Linked DNA regions of Oreochromis niloticus. The protein of the gene in region 3 purifies or fractionates together with the protein of the main gene of each other region. This does not show direct contact. Links are inferred from orthologs where the notes say so. Each region holds a gene or a part of one and is shown on either strand. Other genes may lie near its edges. The genes, in order: copz1, arcn1b and cope.

The links.
Region 1: the proteins of cope (region 3) and copz1 purify together in Homo sapiens (affinity purification with mass spectrometry; 3 studies listed by BioGRID and IntAct, with this or other methods). This does not show direct contact. The link is inferred for Oreochromis niloticus from reciprocal best matches to the Homo sapiens genes COPE and COPZ1.
Region 2: the proteins of cope (region 3) and arcn1b purify together in Homo sapiens (affinity purification with mass spectrometry; 4 studies listed by BioGRID and IntAct, with this or other methods). This does not show direct contact. The link is inferred for Oreochromis niloticus from reciprocal best matches to the Homo sapiens genes COPE and ARCN1.

The regions. Positions count from the first base shown.
Region 1 is NC_031984.2:19,116,336-19,123,771, reverse strand, and holds the start of copz1 (coatomer subunit zeta-1), read left to right. Parts: upstream 1-4,389; 5' UTR 4,390-4,527; coding exon 4,528-4,545; intron 4,546-5,012; coding exon 5,013-5,081; intron 5,082-6,594; coding exon 6,595-6,676; intron 6,677-6,763; coding exon 6,764-6,855; intron 6,856-7,436. UniProt on the Homo sapiens protein: The coatomer is a cytosolic protein complex that binds to dilysine motifs and reversibly associates with Golgi non-clathrin-coated vesicles, which further mediate biosynthetic protein transport from the ER, via the Golgi up to the trans Golgi network.
Region 2 is NC_031979.2:1,082,573-1,090,543, forward strand, and holds the start of arcn1b (archain 1b), read right to left. Parts: upstream 3,106-7,971; 5' UTR 2,704-3,105; coding exon 2,701-2,703; intron 753-2,700; coding exon 489-752; intron 1-488. Other genes in the region: porphobilinogen deaminase, read left to right, coding at 6,769-6,798, 6,953-7,006, 7,252-7,324. UniProt on the Homo sapiens protein: Component of the coatomer, a cytosolic protein complex that binds to dilysine motifs and reversibly associates with Golgi non-clathrin-coated vesicles, which further mediate biosynthetic protein transport from the ER, via the Golgi up to the trans Golgi network.
Region 3 is NC_031986.2:44,406,986-44,414,398, reverse strand, and holds the start of cope (coatomer subunit epsilon), read right to left. Parts: upstream 3,037-7,413; 5' UTR 2,978-3,036; coding exon 2,876-2,977; intron 2,725-2,875; coding exon 2,662-2,724; intron 2,567-2,661; coding exon 2,466-2,566; intron 890-2,465; coding exon 737-889; intron 224-736; coding exon 170-223; intron 1-169. UniProt on the Homo sapiens protein: The coatomer is a cytosolic protein complex that binds to dilysine motifs and reversibly associates with Golgi non-clathrin-coated vesicles, which further mediate biosynthetic protein transport from the ER, via the Golgi up to the trans Golgi network.

The DNA.
Region 1 (7,436 bases), on a different chromosome or scaffold from region 3:
CCAAACCATTTGAAGCTGTTATTTCAGCTTCTGTGTCAGACGCATATGTTAATACTTTGTATAGGATTCAAGTATTTGTTAAAGCAAGCAGAAGTAAACACGTGCTTGGAGAACTGCTCGCAGAATTTCTCAGAAATGTGAATCTGAAAACAGATGTCACAATCATTTCTTTCCTCGAATTGTAGTCGCTGAATTAACTTGTTAAACAGAAAGCGGGAAAACACACACACACACGCGCACACGCACGTCTATCATCGTACTAAAGATTTGAAATGAAAATGAAAATTTTACACATCTGCACAAACATTCAGACAAAAGTTGTAAATGTGATGATAACTAAGTTTGAGTTATTTAACGTAACATTAAATATACATTGATGGGCTACAGTTACAAATTTCATTCAGCTGTACATTCACAAGCTTTGGGAACGTGGATGGTTTTGTATGGCCCAATATAATATCACATCCCACTGAGACATAAATCACAGTGTTTTCTCTGTCATTGTTCTAAGATGGAAAAACTAGGTGGCTGACTAAGTCAAGAAAGGTGAATGTCTACCAGGAATCAAAGAAGGGACTTCCCAACCCAAGTTCCTAGCACCCAGCCCCTGACTCAACCACTGCCACAGCATGCCAAAGAGCACCCTGTTATTACTGCAACCACAGTGGTTTTGAATCTGGACACAGTTCCCAGGTCAACGCCCACATTCCCTGTTTGTGTTTGTTTGCTTCAATTAGTCTTTGACATCTCTGCTTTCCAGCTTGCCTGAACCTTTCATGGCTGTCAGAGTTTACTTATTGTGTAGCTCAGTGCTCCAAACAACTGTGCTTCAAAAACAGGCCAGAGGTGCTGGCTGGGAACTGCCCACGGTTGAGTCGCTCAGGCTTAGATTTGCTTCATGTGCGTTACGTTTTGTATTGACGCTAATCTGAAATTATTTGTCTGCTGTTCTTTCCGTGGTAATTAAAATGTTCATTAAAAATTAAGGAATTGTGGTATCTTTGGTTTTGTTGTAGTATCCAAAAAGCTTTAGCAAACATGAGTGGGAAAAACCGCCTCATGACCAAAAAAAAGGAAAAAAAAAATGGATGTGTGCAATGGGTTGTGGTATCAAAAGGGGAATATTTTTGGAGTCAGCTTCTGGGAAGGGAAAAAAATAGAGAGGGCAGTTTAAGTTTTTTCTTTTTTTAAATTGATTATGGAAAAAAAAAACTAAAAAGCTAAAAATTACAAAAGGGGTGACATGTATAAGGTAATGTGCGCAGCCGTTAGTGGGAATATGCAGATCGGTATCTGACTGAAAATGCAATCCATCTTATAGCACATTGTTAAACAGGTATCGCTGATACCGACGTGGCAGACAGAATGAAAAAATGTGCACGAAAGTTGAAAGATTAATAATCGTTTTGGAAATTAACTGGAAGTGCAGTGGTCTGTCGTTCACACAGCATCAGTAGCAATGTTTGTCACGATGGTCACACATTACCAGACATAAGAAAGAGAAAATGAGGAACCTGAACATGCAGCATCATTCTTCTGAATGTCTCAATAGTGCCTGTGCTTATCTCAAGATGTTCAGATAAAGATAATGTTTTGCAACAACAGTATTGCGTTTCTTGTTATTTACTGAGAGCCCCTTTTATTTTTGTGCAAGCGTGTTTCTCAAAAAAAGTTGACATGCCCTGTACAGTGTGAACTAACAGTGAATGCAATGAGTTGCAATTTTTGTACACCCTATATTTGACTGAAAACGTTACAAAAACGACATAGTTTCAAGTACTAAACCCGAGATATGTTACTGCTGAAGAATACAAAGCAACGCTTTTCCAAAAATATCTCGACGGGGCCATGTATACAACGGTGTTGCATCACCGGTCTCTTCAAGAAATTCTTCAAGCCCTTGGGAACGGAGGGGATGAATTGCTTTTCTATTCTTACTTCATATATGATTCCATTTGCTCAATTGCTTGGAGCCTCCTTTGTGTTATTCTTTGTTTAATAATACAGTAAGTATTTTATGCGCCATGTATGGACAAGCAGGCCAGTTTAGCAACTGTACTCTTTTACTATGGAGCCATGCTTTTGTAATAGTTGCTGAATGTGATTTGGCATTGTTTTGCTGAAATAAACAAGACGTACCTGAAAAACGGAGCTGCACTGGCAGTATATCTTTCTCCAAAACCTGCATATATCAATTAGCATTAATTGCTTTCACAGAAGTGCAAATGCTGGCTTTTGAACTGTGTGCTGATAACAAGCAGAAAGAACATGGTGCACATTGCTGTTTCTGGATTTTTGTTTGTTTTGTTTTGTTTTTTCTTTGAATGGTAGTATGTTAACTTCCATTTTTGGATGCACAGCAAGCTAACTTTACTGGAAATGTTTTTTCAAAAGTCTCCCCAAGCTCATCCAGTGATATCCACTGCAGAATTTCATTTTTAATATTGGCCTTTCTCTGAGTTTTCTGACTCTTTTATATGATCTCTACCATGGTAGAAGATGAGATATACAAGTTCTTAAACAAAAGAAATTCTCAAACTGTTAAAGCAAATGCCTACTGTGTTGAATCCATCTCCAGTTTTCATCTTAAACACTTAGACTCTCTGGGAGCATCTTCTATGTTGCTTACTTATTACCAATCTGTGTGAGATGTGAGATATTCCACCTGTTTTTAAAAAATAAGCATAAGAGCATTTTTTATTTTTAACTTCTAATATGTTGTCACCAGAGTATTTTAATTCATTATAATGTTTAAATTGGTTGCAATTGTCTTTTTATTTAGGCATCACATTCCTTTGGAAACAGGTTATGTATTCTATTGGCCAATGTGCTCTTGACAATGAAAGTCAAGTCTGGTTGGTAATGCAAACACATATTGGAGGGGGGGGGGTGCAGGGAAAGGAGGATGTTGGTTGGCGGAAGCTCTGTTTTACACCGATAAAAGGAGCACTTGATTCATAGGAAGGGAACTGCTAACTGCTGTGGTTGCTGGCATGTTGTGGTGAGAGGGAAACAGCCCATACTATTAAAATACTTCACTTTTACATAATGCAATGTTATTATTTTCTAGTTTTAATCTTTTAAGTAAAAAAACACTGCTGATAATATTAAAAAAAAATAAGGTAAATACTTGATGAAACTCAAAAAAAGCTCCTGAAGAGAGATTATTAGCTATCAGTTTCCTCACATCATGCTTTTCCAGTGCAGACTTTATTATTTAGGATCTTTTCATGACAGAGTAGTGGTGTACATGTTTAATACCACTTACTTTTTGTAATAATCGATCCAGTTCTTTTTTAGGTAAACCGAATCAATACCATATGCCATCCAGAAAACTTACAGTCATTATATACAGTAGGTATTTTGTTTCTGTTTATTCATTGTATGTGTTGATTCATCATTCAACTTTCAGAAATCAGTCAGCTTTGCCAGTCATCGTCACCACTGTGATGCTTTTTAAACACAAAAAAGAATAAAAATAAGTTTAACTTTGTGATGAGATGGCATGACAATATCAGGCGATATTTTAACCTTTTAGTATGAGCTAGTTCAAGGCAGTATACAGTTTCCTCTCTGGTCAAGGCAATTTTGAAATCGTAGTGGCTAAATTTGTGCAAGCATACTGCAGTGTTGCAACATTTCATAGTTTCCCACAGTCCTCTTGTGAACACGCATAAGAATAGTTGGTATCTCCTCACAATACACGTTCTGCAGTTAAATAATGGCTGGACATTATTTGCTTTCCAGTGATATTTGAAGCCCAAAAATATCCTACAGTAAGGCCAAACAATGATGTAATTTATGGAGTTAGATAGAGGGAAATCCCCATCTGCCTGTGTTTCCAAATGCTTCCCAGAAGTGGGAACTAAGATAATTGGAGTTGGTTAAATGTAGGAGGATACTGAAAAAAGATGTTGATGAGTACGAGCAAGCTAAAATGGCTTGTAAAACGAGAGATTTCTGGTTACCACTAAGTCCTACAAAAACAGCAACCACCTTTAGTCATTAGGTTTAATTACAGTAAGCTCTGCAGGGATGTGAACTCTAAAATAAACATCCTGACTTACACGTGTTTTTTTTAAGAAGTTCATACGAGCTACTAAAGGCATTTACATGTTTGGATTTACGGTTTCAACCACGAATGAATTTAGGTTTTATTGTAAGTCTAATGGGGTTAGTAATCTTCATATTTTACACAGTAACAAGATACAGTCCGAAATTACAGTAATAAAGTTAGTTAATAACTTGTTTAGCTTTACGTTTGGGCCATTAAAAGGTTCAGACTTTCCCGACTTAAAAGGCAAATGTGTTATAACTACAGGCGAGTCTGAAAGTACTTCTTTATTAACCACATCGCTTTTGAGTTTCAGCTCTTTTGTGGCTGCTTGCTCTGCAGTGAACTGATCTTTGCCCTGCACGCACAACATACGGCACTGCGTCAGCCAATAGGAAAGAGACTCATTTACTGTACGTAATACGTAGCCTAATGCTGCTAGCCCGGTAGCTGGTTTGCTAACAGGAAAGAAGATGGATTCTCCCATACTGGTAATGTTAGCCCATTTATTTATTTCTGACGATGTAAAAGCCACGAGCGTTACCTCGTTAGTACTTCACATAAGTATTTACTAGCAAAATGTTTCTCGCAGTTTTGTGTTGTAGAGTCATTTAGAGAGCAGTCGAATAAACTCAATGCTAACTACAGTGAACGGGTTGGCCGTGTTAGCTAAGGAGCTAGCATCTAAAGTTAGCTCGTATGCGTTTGTTGATGATGTGGAACTGTCATGTCTCCTTCACGATTTGGTGATTAAGAAGTCTTTTAAATAACATTTAGACTGATTTTGTGACGCCAGTCGACACCCAATTTATTCAACTTACTTGCACGTCCACCGTCGCCTTTTTGATAGTTCATGTTTATTATTTAACATACGAGTTGCCACATATTTAAAGAATTATTAAGGTGAATTCGTTCCTGTGTAGGATAAAACAATGCCTAACGTGTGCTGTCTTCACAGGAACCTTCCTTATACACGGTGAAAGCTGTTCTCATTCTGGACAACGATGGAGACCGGCTTTACGCCAAGGTATGAATTTCAGACATCTGTGACATCATGTTACTTCGTTATTATTAACGCCGGTGACATGCCAAAAAGTGATCTTCTGCGAAACTGTGAATACTGGACAAAAATCATTGCTGATATTTAAACGCTTGTAAATTAATTATTGGCCTATAATCTGTCAAACTCTTGTGAATGGTATCAAGTCATTTTAAGCCTGAAAGAAAATTGTCGTCACAAGGTAATTTACCTGTGGTCAAAATGTACTATTTTCACTACAGGCTGTTTACCAAAGTAAGCAATGATATTAAACATTAAAAAAACACCGGAAGTCACTGTTTGACACAACAGGTCTCTGGAGCCAGAGCATGTCTGGAGGTGGTCACCCCCTGCCTGAAATATGATTGCTCCCCCACCAATGATATTGGACTACAGTACTGTTAATCTTGCAGTGCCCAATACCGTGGAAGCATGTATAGAAGCAGTAGTAATGTAACATTTACTTGAGTACTTTAGTTTAGGGTTTAAAGTATTTGTACTTAATTTAAGCATTGCTCTATCATGCTACTGCTCTTACGCTAATAAATTTTGGATGCAATTATTAGAATTTCTACCCTTTATTTTTTAAGCTTTAGTTTGTAATTGTTTTGCAGGTTAATTGCATTATTATAGATCAAGTGGTACTGCAATATATAGGTAATTAAAATCAATAGCTTGAACATTAAAGAGATACATATGAATGTCAATGGATCCATAATTATGATCCAGTGGTACAGATATAGTACTGTTAATGATTTTGAAAAGTGCTATTCAACATAATGAATATGCTTACTTTATGTTTTATGAATATATTTTTATTATACAGTTCATGCAGTATAAGCTACTTAATTATTATTATAAGTTTTACTTTATAAAAAGTCTAAATACTTTTTTTCACGTTGCGAAAGGATTATCCAACACAAAGGTATAATTAAAGTTTTGCACAGCACTACTTTATCCATAATAATTATGTTACAGGACACAGGGTTGCACATTAGCCTGAAAGTCACCCAATGTTTTGGGGGGTTTTTTGCCAATTTTCTGCACTAATTTTAATTCTGATTAAATATTCTGAGTTTGTGCAGAGGGGCCCACAGGAACTTGAAGAAAAATCATAGAAACACTCTTGCTCTGAAGTTAATTTTCAGTTAATAAACCTCTTTTTGCCACCCAAAAACCCCCCACCAAAAAAACAAAAACACTCTGCCTGATTCTGTAAATGCTCACATAGCTACATTAAACACAAAATTCAACCCATAACAAATGCTGTATTTTTTCCTGATTAAAAATTATGTGCTCAAACAGCTCCCAGTTACTTTAGAAAAGTGTAAACCTTTAAAATGTGTATGACTCACTATTGTCTCGTTTTCTCATTTTGGGTTGATTGTTTGCAAGAAAATGACATCCTCTACCATCATCTAATAATACAAATGAAAACTAGTGAAAATTATGTAACCTTTAGACTAATATCTAAATATGACTTAATTTCTAATTTCTGCAGTATTATGATGACACATACCCAACAGTGAAGGAGCAGAAGGCATTTGAGAAGAACATATTCAACAAAACACACAGAACAGACAGTAAGCAATCTTTACACTGTTAAAAACAGTTACTTTGCCTCAATACATACCTAATATCGAGCATGGTTGTTTTTTGTGCCTCTTTAGGTGAAATAGCACTACTTGAAGGCCTCACTGTTGTCTACAAGAGCAATATAGACCTCTTCTTTTACGTGATTGGAAGTTCACATGAAAATGAGGTAAGTTTAATTTTAGTTTTTGTAATGAACCCTTTTTAAGTAGGAGTTGAAACTTGCTTATGTTGTGCTGAGGAAAGTGACAGCACATGCCGAATATGGATCCTGCCTCATCATCCAGTCTGTGAGAGCCTGAGAAATGGTGTGAATCACAGTACATGAGCAAGTTTTGACTAGTATTGTTTTGCACTTGGAACATTATAATTGCACTAAACCACATAAGAAGTTTTCACAAGTAAAGTCCAGAAAATGCCAGGTGAGGCCTGTGAAAAAGCTGCCCGTTCTCACACGTGGCAGACAACTGGAAATAAACAGAGTCATTTGGTTCCTCATTACTTGAAACATTTCTAAAACCACGCATGGAAAAAATGTCTTAATTAACAAACAAAAAAAACAGGGGTGGGGGGTGGGGGCTTTTGAAAAACACAGAAACTAACTGAAAAAATTGTGTTTGCTTACAAAGCTAACTAAATTAAACTTAAAAAAGTCATCTTTACTCTTAAAGGTAGTCAAATTTTATTAACATTTATTAACTTATTAATATTGTAATATTAATAAGTTAACAACTTATTAATATTACAATA
Region 2 (7,971 bases), on a different chromosome or scaffold from region 3:
AAAAGAGCTTATAAGAAGTCTGTAATCTATTTCAGATATGGTAAAGCAAACTACCTACTTTCTTTTCAGCGGCCACCAGGGGGTGTCTCCAGGTAAACACTTAGCTGGTGAGTTTATGGGCTCGGTGACTAATTTCAGGCCATAATGAATAAACTATTGAGCCCATTTTGTAAATATGAGTTATTTTGGGTGTGAGCAGGATTACCAAGGGTATGCTCATCGGCTAATGTTTGTGATTTACATGCTGCTAGCTAATGATCTTTTTACAGTGAGATCACCCCTTGTTCATCACAGCTGGTTTCACAGAAGCTACATCCATCATTTACACATACTGTAATGTTCAGAACGTACAGGTTTTTACAGTAACACGTCTCTACATTTATTCTTCTTTGTTACCAGACCGGTCACCTCATCGGGATGTCAGACAACACATACATAAATGCTCTTTGCAAACTGACTTCTATCCAAACCTGCCTGTGTGTGCTTACCACACGGGAAAAGAGTCTGAGTGTCTCCAGGTCCTCCAGGATGTTGCTGTTCTTGGTGGTGATAAGGACCATGTAGAGCTTCTCCAGTGGCTGGTACACATAGCGAACGCTGTCTGTTTCCACAAAGGTGTGCTGCTTGCCCGTGTTCATCAGTTTAGGAAATGCAGCTAGGAGACCCTCAATTCGTGTCCGGGTCATTTCCACAAACTGCCGCGATACGATGGCCTTGCCGGCCTTGGTGCACACCGCCGCTGCCAACAGCACCTGAGGGGTAAAGAGGAATTTGACTGCTTTAGTTTCCCACAGACCTGAACTATTACAACTAAAGATGCACTAATCGGACCAACATCTATGCTCATAACAACAACAGGAAGGTCAGCGAATGTCAAAATTCAATATTTTTTTTTTAATGTAAAATTTTCTTTTCTATTCCAAAGAAACAAGAAAAAAACAAAACAACCAAAAAACAGATCTTCATCACACTTGCTGAGGATTCATTCATCAGCAGGAAATCTACAACATAGGTACACTGTGACTGCAAACTACTTGGAAACCCTACATCTTAACCTGACGTGCTCCTGTCTAAAAATGCAACAACACGTTACGTTGACACAACCAGAAACAACTGTGATTGTTCAATACCACTGATCCTTCCTGTGAATTTGTGCTACTTTTTGCTGTAGTCTTTGATTTAGAGAATATCAATCATCATCTACATATAAGGAATAATAATCATAGTAAATAAGAACACACATTTCACCAAATTACAGGAGGAAGATTGATGAAACTATCAGAGTGAACACGAGGAAATGTACAAAGAAGTGGAAAACCACATTGAGGAGTGGAGACTCAGGAGCAAAAAGTCTTATTTGTTTTCGTCATAGCTGACACCACATATAAAACCCAAGAAACGAGCACAATGTAATTAACACATAATGCACCAGCACACAAATGCTGATAACAGTGGCCACTTACATAGGTTACATCGTTGGCTCTTCAAAGATCCACTGTAGAAGTCTAAGTCAGCCATTATCCAATGCTAACCTGATGTGGCCTACACTCAGTTAGGTCAATATCAGCTGATTCTGATACTTAGCCGATACAGTGAAGTCAGAAAAACCAGACAAGAGTACTTGTCATTTGATATATTGGTGCTCTCCTGATTACACACGGCTGTAGTTGTTTGAGGACGTTACTAAAAGCACATGAACTAACTGCTGTTTGCCTTTCTCTTAGGTGAGCGAATCTTACAAGTCCAGCTTCTTCAGGTTTCACTTTAAGGGGCTGGGACAGTTAAAAGCCTTGAACAAATCTCAACAATCTTCATCTTTTACCTATAAAGCGAGCAATTCACTCCAAATGTACTCACACCCTTCAAAGCCTCCTACCAGTTTCAGACTTGGTGCAAGAAGACAGTATGAGAGAAGATACGCCATGTATGTTGAATGTGGGAACCAGAAAGTTAGGTTTTGGTTAGAATACACGTTTTGCTTGGAATGAAGCAAAACTATGCTAAAGCTCACAGATACTTTGAGCTGGTCCTTGGTAAGGCCAACGACAGCTAGTGCAGATGTTAGCACAATGGAAAATGATCTTATAAAAGAATCGGGGGTCGTTTAATATAATGAGTATAACAATGGTTGACATAAACGGACGCTTTATGTGGCTGTGCTAAATGAATGAAGGAACTGCACTGATTCCACGTTGACAATAGAAATGGAAGACCCGATCGCACCGATGTGAACTCGATAAAGACGAGCAGCAACTTTGGTTATCGAAGTCGTCGACACTAGCTAACTATAATAACACAGTTGTACCTATAGTTGGGGTTTGTCGCAGAGCCGGGCTCGGTTTAACCTGGCTTATTACAGTCTGACAGCAGGCAGTGGTTGCACGGATCCGGCTACTGACAGGAGACAACTAGCGCTAGCCTCCAAAGCTAGTTCACGTCAGCACGGACTGCACAGCTAAAGCGCTTCACTCCGGTGAAATTCGACTTTGACGACTCATTTACTCGATTTTAGCACCTGAACATGTCGCTAACACTGTGGCTCCGATAAAAAAAGAACCGTTTATTATTTGTCTTCTTTCGTTCATGAAAGGGAAGAAGCTAGTTTTCTCATACCTAGCTTTAGCTACTAGCCAATGTTATGATAGTTGCTAGGCCCGATAAAAGGCAGGGAAATAATGGTCACTTTCGACTGTCACTCACCATTGTGGTCTCTCTCTACGGCACGACGGTCGTCAGTCTCTCGCGTTTCTTGCTTTGGTGATTCCTCGTCCCTCTGGAATGGCAAGGTGCGAATATACAGCTGACTTCTAGTTGTGTGATTGTTAGCTAGTTAGCGTCAATATGGCAGCAGCACAGAGCCACGTCTCCACCGGAAGAGCCGCGCTGGATCAGCCCACCGTGGAAACCAATGACGTGGGCCCCAAAATGTTGGCCTTGTTGCATAAAGAAGTTACTCAGATTACTTCCACCGGCGTTTCTTTCTTCTTTAGACTTCTGTGCGGTACTGACCACAAATTACCTTCACGCGATTACTTTTAACGTTTATCAGCGTATCAATAACCTGGCAAACACATAAATATTATCCAGAGAGATTGTCAGAGTAGTTCTGAGTGATAGCATTTCACGTCTGAGGGGACTGGTCTCCGGGATGAAAACGCCTTCACCCACAGAGCACACGGGGGGGTCGTATAAAAAAAGAATTATATGCTACAGTCCTCATAGTGCAGGCAGTGCTCTCCACCATCATCGTCAAAAACACCAAATTCATCCCATCTAATGCAACATATGATACAATTAGGCTTTTCTCTTTGTTGTCCTTAATTTCTTTATGTTACATTTTAAAACTTAATTGTAAACATAAATATTCTCATTGGGCATTTATCACATGACGGGGGGTGGAGGTGGGGTGGGCACCGAACTACCGATAAGTAAGCTGTCAAGCATGTGAGAAATGTACTAACATGTTGCAGATATATTATGGAATTTATTTTTTTCTTTTAAGTTTAAGTTCCAAACATGTTGAATTCTGTTTTTTTTTTCTATTATTATCATTAAAGAAAGAAAAGTAAACATTTACTCCAACAATCCATTCTTCTGCTTATCCAGTTCCACGACTGGCTGGAACTTATTCCAGCTATGATGGGTTAGGGTACCCTGCACCCTGGATATGTCTGTCACAGGGCTAACACACACACAGACAGACAACGTTCACACATACAATCAATTTCCAACTTCCTGTTTTGTTGTACTATCGTAGTAGGTGTGACTGTGCATGGACAATAAAGAGTTATCCAATTAAACTTTGGGCTGTGGGATTAATGGCCAGACAGAAGATTAGTTACTGGAGATAATTATTAAATTGTTAAAGATATAGAAGAAGAAAATTGCCTTGCACTAGCATGTTTTATTTGGCTAATATTAACATAATAATATTCACTTATATTTGACATTAATTAGTATGTTAATATTTTGATCATTTAGTTAAAAATATACAGACTTCTTTATTTGCATCGGTGGAGGAGTGCAGTATGAAATATTTTAGTTTATGGAAAATAATGGGTTTGATAGCTTATAGACGAGGTGCAACATTTTAAGCAGACAGTTTGAGCAGACAGCATTTTTTATTTAATTTAAATGCACGTGTAAGCAAGATGCTGGTGGCAGCAACACTTTTAGATATTCAGAAAGTTCTTAGGGACATAAATCCAACATTCATATGGGAATACTGTTTATATGTTTGTCATGACCTGCTCTACCGCCTGTGGCTCAGGCGGTAGAGCAGGTCCTCTACTAGTCAGAAGGTTGGTAGTTTGATCCTTGGCTGCTCCTTTCTCCTGTCTGCATACTTGAGTATCCTTGGGCAGGATACTGTTGTCTGATTGCGTCACTGGAGTGTGAACACATCGATACGTCTTTCACCCAGGGGGAGAGGAAAAAATTGTTCTCATTTTAGACCCCTAGCACGAAAAACTACACACATCACAGTGTTGCAGTAACTTATTTTGGTCACTAGGTGTCACCATTTAAACAAAGGGAAGAGGAACACGCGCGATCCTGTATTTATCGGACTGCGTTGATTTTTTTAATCAACAGATATCTCACTGTTCCATTAAATTATACAGTAACAATGTAAGAATATGAGTGTAATTTATTTACTCCCAGTCCTACCTCCGACATTATGTTTTCACGGACTCACTGGATAAGCCTACAGGTGTGTGGTAGTTGGCATACAAGTCCAAAGTTGACAGACAGGTTTTGTTTCTTATGGCCACGTCGTCAGATCACAAAAACATGACACAAGACGACAACTTTTAAAGTAATCATTCTAATACTACTGGCCGATATTTAGCAGCCGGAAGTCAATTATTGCGCTTTCCCTTCTTAAACAATAATAATTTTGTTTCTTTTAAACTTCCAGCATATTCACACTTGAAGTCGTGGATGTGAACACCCACGCCCGCAGAAGCAGAAAGGACAGGCGGGACCAGGAAATGACCTCTAGCCGGTCCGATGACATCATAGCCACCACGCTCATTCATACGCGGAGCTGTTTGAGACGAGTGCTCGAAGTTCATCCAGGAGTTTAGCTGTTTCTAATAGTCTCTGTGTCCAGAAAACACGCTGCTGATTCGTGCAACACCAGCAGAGTAAACCGAATCACCGACATGTCGGAAGAAGCTAGTTCTCAGGTTGGTTTTCTTCACTGTTCAGTCAGATCTTCCCGGTGGACATGCTGCTCATTCAGCGCTCACCCATTGTGTGTACGTTTCGTCATCACGTAGGGCTCGTTGATTGGCTGACATTTGTGCTTGTCTGCGGATTGTGCTCTCTATTGGACAGGGGGCGGTGTCAAACGTGACAGATAGTAGCTGTAAAAAGCTAGATGCTTTAGTTTGATTTGGGAACGTTAAGGTCAGCATTGGATAAAAGCAGGCCGCCAAACAGAGTGCTGACTGACCGCTGACACTTAAACACTGAACGCTAACCTTACAGGCTGGGTGCTTGTTCATTTGCTAACGCTACAGTTCAGTGTGTTAGCTAATGACACCGAAAAACCCCACCGCCACTGTTTTCCCCTCTCAGAGTGAAGTAACTCACAGACACTGAGTTCACCTAAGCTAGCTGTTTAGCTTTTATATTCTCCCCTCATGAAATGCGCAGTACGGATTTTGCTCCCGCCTCGGAGTTACGTTGATAAATGTGTTAAACTTGGAGGTGAACGCATTGAAAAGTTCAGCATTTTATTAAAATGACAGTTAGCTATTCTTTGTCACTGGTGCCGAATGGATGTTTGCCACCTGCTAACCTCGGCTACACTATAACAGGTATGTTTATAAAGGCGCTGAGTAAATACATGTCAGATGAATCGATTTTTGAATGCAGTTTTCGGACAGACGGCTGAAAACCCAGTCTTTGTTTTACCCTTCGTAATGCCCAGGGTTATGTCTGAGACATGCACGGGTCAGGTGAAAAATAAATGAGTAAAAAGAAAGAAAATGTCACAAATAATTCAGATTTAATAGTAAGAATAATAGTTTTAATGATGTAATCTGCATGTAGCGTGTACAAAAATTAGTGAATTATCAGCTATTTTAATTAATAATTAAAAACCTGTATAATAAGTCATCCAGTCAAAAGAAAACCAGTCAAATCAAAAATCTGGTGTGCTGGTGCTACTGAAGATTATCATTTATTTTTATTAAACAGTATTTTTAGTTTTAAACAGCATATTAGCAAATACAGAATACTCCCACTCAAGTAAGTATTACTTTGTTTTACCCAGCCACTGCTATTAAACTGTAGGCCAAGTCTGACCAGGATCACAACGAAATAAAGACTTCCAGTGACGTGTTTAAGCTCAGTTTTTACTCTGACCAGTGTTTGCATCTGTGCATTTATTACAGCCTCTGATTAAAAACAGCCAGCAGTGTTATCTGGATATTTCTGTAACTGTGGTTGTGGCCTGTGTTTGAAGGGTAACGTTTCCACTCACACTCTTCCCTGTGACCACACCTTGTAACCAAGACCCTCCTAAACTGCCTTTTGTAACGGACTCATTGAAAAGACACACTTATCTGTGGGAACCAGAGATACGTGGGGTGGAGGTCCTTAGTGGGGGAGGAGTCAGCTGGGTCCAATAAGAAAGGACACTGTTTAGTATCAAGAGGCTATATGACCTCAGCAAAGCTCCTTACCAGGACGCAGCAGTCAGTCCCAGACACACAGTGCACACAATAGCCTCTACAGTGCAGAAGCTCAGTGTGGACCATGGAGGAAGGACCTTACAAGTACATCAGGGTGAGGCCAGCAGAGAGGGATCATTCATTCGTATTTTAAGTCAGAAAGTGTAACTGTGTTGTGCTGATTGAACATATCAGGAATACATCTTGGAAGTGGGAGAGAGTGAGTGTTTGTAGAATCTTGTGGCTGATCTGGTTTTATGTTCCGGCAGGATGGAAACGGCAAAGTTAGCCGAGTCATTCGAGTGGGAACCCGCAAGAGCCAGGTGAGTATTACATTATTATCCAATCAGGAGCTTTAAATTCAGGCAGGTTTGACTCTAATGTAAAGCTGAACTTACAGATCCCCGACTGTCGGTTGTGAATTATCTGATTTGAAAACCGTCTGGAGCTCCACAGAGATAAAACTGACGAGTGTGTTTTTATGATAACTGTCTGTCCTCCGGTCTGCTCTACTGATTTAATAAGTGTGAAAGGACACAGAATGCAATGAGTTGATCTTCTGTTGCAGCTGGCTCGCATCCAGACGGACAGCGTGGCCGAAAAGTTGAAAGAGCTGTACCCTGACATCCACTTAGAAATCGGTAAGAAGGCAGCCCCTCTGTCTGTACAGCGTTTGTAGCTCTGTCTCCATGTTTCTATTCCTGATCAGAGTGCAGAGTGAGTGGATTATTCACATGTTCTTACAGCTTAGGTCTTAAAATTGAGTCAGAATCTGTCCACGCTGTCACTCCATCCTCACTGCACTGAACACACTGAAGTTTGTGTGTTTGTTCAAAGCAGCTGGTGACCTCGTGTGTTTCCAGAAAAACTTCACTGAACCTGAATGTGAGCAACAGTCTGGTTAGACTGTTGCTGCGCCTCTTAGCCACAGTGTGGAAACGAGATGGAAACTAAAAACCAGGAATTATTTTAAAAAATAAATCCGTCATATTACATAGAACAAACAGTGATTTTGAATATATCGTCCTATTAAAAGGCGGCGTGCACTGATAGTGATTGTGATTGGCCCAGAATATCACCATGTTTAAAATGCCAGTTTTATTCCTCTTTTTTAATTCTGATTAAAATAAAAAGGAATAAAGAGGAATTGTAACTTTTCAGAAAGCAATAACTGAAATGTAAAAAAGTATTTCAGTGTTTGCTGACCGTCAGCCCACTTTCATGTTCAGTACTTCCTCCTGGGTTTTTTGGTTTTTCTGGAGACTGAACCAACACAAAACGGATGCAG
Region 3 (7,413 bases):
GAGACCGCATCAAAAAGAAAAAAAAAAAAATTACAAGAAAGCTGGTTGAAGATTTTTGCACAGAACTGTAGATGTGCGCTTCCAAAAGCTGATCAACCACTTGTAGTGCAAATTCTCTAATATCATGTTTAATTTTCTCTTCGATGAAAAAAACCAAGTAATGTCATACCTCGCCAGGTCAACACGATCCAAGCTCAGGAGCACCTGAATGGTCATGGCCATACTGATGGAAAAAAAGAACAACAAGGGTGAGGCTTGGTCAGTTTCATGCAGCGCTCTTTAAACTGCAGGGAGTGAAGATCCCACTGCATAGAATACAGATGACACAGGACACATTTCAACACCAGATTTCCCAAAAACAAATTACGAGGGCTCAAAGTTACAGAGTTCACAGATTGTAAACAGCCCAGAAATGATCTGTGATATTTATAAAAATGTCAAACATAATACATGATTGATGACGTCTATATGCAAATGTAGTTCATCTTCATCTTCTTCATATTAGCCGTGTAGGCGCATTTGTCAAAGCAGCACAGTGAGTCCAGAAGCAGTAATCATGCAAAATGAGCTCAGATGACTGAGCATCTCCATCAAATATTGGTTATGAATAAAAATGAAAGTTAAAATTTAAACTGTTCTTGTTTTCGTGGTGATTATTAGTAAAATATGGTGAAAAATGTTTGGAGCGGATCATAAATCAAACCTTGTTAAGCTAAAAATTTCACTCCCTTCTTACCACTCGAGGCTTTCTCCTTGGTGCAGAGTCCTGATGGCAGCATCAGTATTCATCTCGTGGTAATAGATGGAGGCAGCCATGAGTAGGAAGGTGGTGTTGGCAGCATCCACACTCTTTGCCATCTTTTTGTCCAAATCGGCAACGATTACGTCCCTGAACAAAAACAAAGCCTCATTAAAAGCTGTGAAGAAAAAACAACGACCATCTAAAGATTAAGCTGTTTCAAATACACTCTGTCTTCTTTATTCAAATTTGTATATGGACACCTTATTAAATTCTGTCAGGTTTGTTAAGCAGTTAAAAATGAATAAAAACAAAGCAAACGTAACATCACAAAACACAATTTCCACTGAGAACAGGAAACACAGTCTGTGACTATATTAGAGTGAAACAAAAGATCTACAAGACCTACCATCAATATATTATCTATACAATCTGTTAACCACAGAGGAACTGAATTATGTATTGTATCGTTTGTGTATTATTAACGCAACACTTATTTGGGACACACAGGACATTATTCAATCCCTTGAGTTTGGAGTGACGTGCCAACAGATATAAGACCCGTTGGTGTTCATCAGGCCTGTATCAAGAATGAATGAAAACCTGAGACCCTCAAACACTTAAGAAGTCTCTGCTGAACGCAAATCTCTGCATTTTAAAAGTAATCGCACATCAAATTCTTCTTCTTTCAGCTGCTCCTTTGGGGGTTGCGAGGTCAATTAACTGCCCCATCACACCAACCCTCTGCACAGCGTTTCTCAGAGATCTTCCTCCTACCATATTATCAACATCCTTTGTCCAGCATATCCACTCTCCTCCTCCTCTTCTCTGCGCATGCAGACCATTTCTGCTTTGCCTCTTTAACTTTGTCTTTGTCAAAGTTAGAAGCCTGAGCCGTCTGATGTACTCATTTTTACAGAGAGAAATATGCACATCTTCGTTCTGCCTCCAGCTCCATCATTTCAACATCATACATCAGAGCAGGTCACTGCCAACTTATAAACCTTCCCTTTCAAGCTTGCTGCCATTCTTCTGTCACAAATTGCCCCTAACACTCATATCTACCCACTCTGTCCATTGCCTTGGATGATAGTCCCAGGTAATGACCTTTACTACCTCTCCTCCTTGTATTTTCACTCTTACACAGACATGCATTTGTCTCTTTTTTTCTGTTGACATGCATTCCTCTTTTCTCCGGCGCGCGCACACACACACACACACACACACACACACACACACACCTCCACCTCTCTTCCACCCATTTTCTCCTCTCACTACAGTTCAGAACGTTGTCTGCAATCCTCAGAGTCCACAGAGACTCCTGTCTTACCTCATCCGACAGCCTGTCCATCACCAGCACAAACAAAAAGGCGCTCAGAGCCAGACCCTGATGTAATTCCACCTCCACCTTGAAACCACCTCTCACTCCTCCCACACCCCTCACAACAGTCTCGCTGTCATCATACACCACCCTCAAATAAACTCTTGACACCCTCACACAGCATCGCAGTTCCTCTCTTGGCAACCTTGAATCTGCTTTCCACAGAGCCACAAAGAACAGCACATATCGAACTACTAGTGTGAATTTTAGCCTCCTATTGATACAGACTGGAAAACTACTGTGACAACTAGTATTAACTACAGAAAAAGAATACGTTTTATCCATATCGCCAAGTCCTATGTCCCTCCCATGGTGGACTAGTGTAAGTGGATGTAAAAATGGTACCTTTTGCTCTCACTCGACAAATACTCTGCAAACATCTTCACAGCCTGCAGCTCGGGGGGAGAGTTGGCCTTGATGTCATCCAGGACAACAGCATACTTTCTCTGCAATAACACAGAAAGGACGAGGACAGGTCTCACCTACACTCCGTGTGACAGCGGTGGGAGCGCAGTAACAGAGCTCTGATTGAGACACTCACCTGAGCAATGTACGCTCTATACAAAAACATGTCCCTCTCGATCTCCTTTTCTGGTGACGACGGCTTCAAAGGCAAAACACAGGCAGCATTTCAGCACCGAATTAAGTGAGAGAAATTTGAGCTAACACATTTAGCACTGCTGGCTCACACAGAGCCGCGGGGACACAGACAGCTTCGTTTAGACACATTCAGCTGTTAACTGTTTGTCACCTACCTTCACTTTCTGCGCCTCATTGATGCACTGCTGATAGCTGCCGATGTAATATGCATTTTTCACATCGAACAGCTCATCAACATCTCCCTGCTGCGCCGCCATGTTGACTACAGAACTTCCTGGACACGTAGCACATATACGTCACCTTCTTACGTTTTGCCCAGGATTCTGGGAGATGGAGTTCAACTCTGAGGGAGAGCATAGATTGATGGTATATCTCTGTGGTACATGCTGAAAAATTTTTGTATTTAGTCAACTCTTTTGTTAATGCTCTGTTTTTTTTCACATTTCTACTGTAAGGCACTTTGTGATCGTCACTTTCTTACTTTGTTACAAGTAGTACCCATTTATAGCATAGACGAGCCCTTCCAGCTCTGCTCTCTTCTATCGTCTCTGTTGTCTTACTTCTCTCTTTCACCTTTTTTTATCCCTTTGAAGAAGTGAGGCTTCATAGATATTAAAGAGGTAAGTATTACTTCTCAGTTGCAGTGAATTGATAGAAGAAAATAAACTGTAGAAAACTAAACAGAAGAAAGTAGAAGAGAAATAACAATTTAACATAAACCAGTGACACTCTCAGGGGCCTGATCAACCCTGGCAGGGCCTCCTTAGATGAGGGTGTCTAGTGATAATGAATGAAACACCCGATGAATCCAAGGTCCACTACTGACGATGTGTCCCAAATTTTAATATGATAATCAGATCTCTAATCCCTAAACCTAACCAAGGAAGGTTAAAAATGGCAGATTAGCTTGGGTAAAAGACCAAAACACCCTGTGAAGCTGAGGCACACAACGACGTATCCCGCTGGTGAAGTTTCTGGGCTGCCTTTCCTCATAACCGCCATCCCTCAAGACTTTCTCCATTTGAAGCAATGCATTATCAGGGATTGTAACATCTAGTCCTTTTACTGTACCCATTTATATGCGCCTTTACTTATTTTAATGTGATTTATTCTTGTGCATTTAGACCAAAGTGAATATTCTGCTTTAGTTCTCCTTGACTTATCTGCAGCCTCTGACACCAGTAATCATGGAAGGGGGTTGGTATTTCTGGTTCAAATGGTTCTCATCATACTTATCTGTGTGTCCTCATCAGCCCCCCTCACACGCGGGGTTCCTCAGGGCTCAATCCTTGGTGCAGTTTTCTTTCCTTTATATACCCCTGCGCATTCTGCTAAACAGCTTAAAAGGCACTTCCTAGAATTTCTTTGCTGATGACACACAGCTGTATTTTTTCTGTCAAGACAAACAACCTCTCCTTCCTCAGTGAATGCTCGGCTGTGATTAAAAACTTCCTCCATCTCAGTTGTTTCTAAAACTGACGGTTTTATTTGGTTTGGGCCTGAAGACGTCTCTAAGCAGGTCAGTTATTACACCATCCTGCTCTCAGGCAATATCACATCATGTATTAAGGACTTTGGTATTATTTATAAACAGCAAGTTTGAATCTCAGAGCTCAGCCAGTTTTGTTTCTTTCATTTAAGAAACATCTCAAAAATCAAACCTTCACTGAAACCCAACAGTTTTTTGAGTACACACTTGCATTATCTGCTCGCACGCCTCCCTAGACTGTCTTCATGGTCCAGAGCGCAGCAGTGAGGCACCTTACATGAAGTAACAGGTGCTCACACATCACCCCTATTCTTGCTTCCTGCCTCAGTTTCCAGTGATTTTCAGAATTCATTTAAAGATTTTTGGAATAACATATACAGCCCTACATAGCCAGGCTCCTGTCTACATAAGAGACCCGCTGAGACCTTACAACAGCAGTCAGCCTCTCAAGTCTTCTGATCAGGGTCCTTTAACTGTTTCATGCACCTATATTAAATCCAGAGGGAATCACTTTTAAAGTAATAACTCCTAAGCTTTGGAAGAGGACATCAGGCCAGCTGAGTCAGTGGTTTGTTTTAAATGACTGCTGAAGAGTCATTTTTATAGGTTAGCATTAGCCCTTGTTCTTCTAATGTGCATATCTCACTGTGTGTTTCCATGTTTAAATATGAACACTTATCACTAATGTGTGATTTTATCCAAACTGTTAAGCACTTTGTAAATGTGTGTTTTAGAAAGTGCTATACAAATACTCATTCTTCTGCTTATAATTATTACTTATTATAAATGGACATCAGTATTCTTTTAAAACCCTGCTGTACAACAGCATGTAAGCTGAAGGCTGTGTAAAAATGGAGAACACACAGCCCCAACTATATGGATTACAGACTACCTGACAGTCTGTGAGATTGGGCAGTGCTCTGCCTGGTTAGGTGATGTGCAGGGCCCCACAGGGGATCGTGCTTTCTCCATTCCTGTTCACCTCGTACACCTCAGATTGTCAGTACAACTCCGGGTCACGGCACCTACAGAAATACTCTGATGACTCTGCAGGAGTTGGATGTATTGTATTTTAGTGATGAGCAAGCAACAGAACACAAGTGGACGATTTTGCTGAATTGTCTGGGAGGAATCACCTGCTTCTGGAAGTAAATAAGAGCGGAGAGATGACGATTGACTTCATGACCCGTGTCTATCCTGGGACAGGATGGTGATGAGTTGCAGGGAGTACAGGCACCTACGCATCCACACTGGCAATAGGCTGAACTGGAAGACCAACACAGATGCTGTACACAAGAAAGATATGAGCATGGCCTATCGCCTAAGGAAGCTGAGATGCTTGAATGTGTGCAGCAAAATGATGCAGATTTAGTGTCCTTTGTCTGCTAGGACAGCAGCATCAACCTGGACTCTTTTCAGGATCCTTCTATCACAGATAATCCCGACCACTCTCTGCACCACTTACTACTAATGGAAGAAAAACAGCACACAATTTACTTTGTGTGCATTTCTGCAGAGGTCTTCAGCTTACAGAGTAATTTCTCACATTATACCACAAGAGGACGCTCCAGATCAATCTCACCACTACAACTGTTCCATTTTTTCTCATTGTGACAGACTTATCCCATAGAAGCACAAATCTTACAGTAAATGAGATTATACAAAAATGTTCTTGTAGCTCAGTAAGATAACACCTCAATAATCACACCTGGCTGTCAAAAAAAAGGTTTTCCTGAGCATAGCACTGCAAGTGCAAGAGTATCAGGCCTACATCATATATATAAAATAAACTATTGTCTTAACATAACAATCCAAAAAGGATATGACCTTGGGAATTTCTGTATCCTCATTAGACAGACGGGGAAACACTTCCCCTGTCCTGAAAACATCCGCTGATAGTTTCCCCCCTCTCTCACATCAGGATCATTGGCCCGACATCATGCTCTCAGCACAGTTTTGCACATTTGTCTGCAAAAACTGTCACCAGAAGCACCAAAGCAGGCTGCGTTTATGTAAAAAAGACACATTATAGACTATTTATTATTTTGACCCTGATAGAAAAGCTGCTCCCCACAGTTCCTGCTCATTGTTCCCTTAACACCGTTTCCTCTGGGAAATTTTCAGCCTTGGGACTGGGAACTGGACGAGGATAATTACTGGAAGCCCTGCACGGGGGCAGGGACTGTGCTGGCTGTAAATGGCCCTTTTCTTTCGGCCTGATTGGGCTTGGACCACTCCCCCTCGTTGCTCCTCCATTGGTCCGAGCCCACATCAATCTGGTGATTTCCAAGTGCCTCTCAAGTTTGAAACTTTTTTTTACGAGTGGGAGGACTCGAGTTACAACAAACTGTGGTAACTGATCGCGCAGCAGCCGAGGGAAGAAAACACGCGTTCAATAATTTACACATCTGTGCCGAGTCCACGGTTACAGAACAAAAACTGAATTAAACAGCAGCGAGGACGGGACGTTTCACAGCCCACACGCAGCAAAACAAGTGGAAGAAAACCTAAATATGCTGTGAAGTGACTTTATCGCCTCTGCCAGGATGAAGACTTGAGACATTTCGCTCACAGTACTAACTTGCTGTCATCTGGCTGGCTGACCGCTCCTGTGTCCCCGTGAAGCTGAGAGTAAGGTGAGTCCCACCTCAACGGTCGAGCAGTTTTTAAACATCCCAGCGCTCAGCGGCCTGTGGTTAAACCAGCTCCCCCCTCCACTCCTCCTCGGACAAACACGGACTTGATGAGAGCTGTTTTGTTTTCTGCGTTTCTTTACGTGTTTGACAGCCTCCATGTTTGGCTCGAGCTCAGCGGAAGTAACGGCCAATCAGTTCGTGCGTGATTGGGATACTTTAAATAGCGTTTGATAAGAGATTTAGCGGCTAACGGACTGTTTCCGAAGTGAAATAGAGTTGCACGGGTTGTTGGTTTAATAAGATGTGGACACGGTGCGAGAAATGAAAGATAAACAGAGTTTGTGCTTCACCATGTGGATGATCATTAGGATTATGTGTCTGCGTTTATTAGTCATTGATTGGTAATGAGAAAGCACCGCTGAAGCTCTGACTGTGGGGGTGGTGTGTTATACCAGCCGCCCATGTTTCAGACCTTTGTGGGGCTTTAAACCATGTTTGCTGGATTTAATGGGAAGACATTAACATTTATTAGTAACCATATAGTACACACTTTAGTGGGACTGTGCAA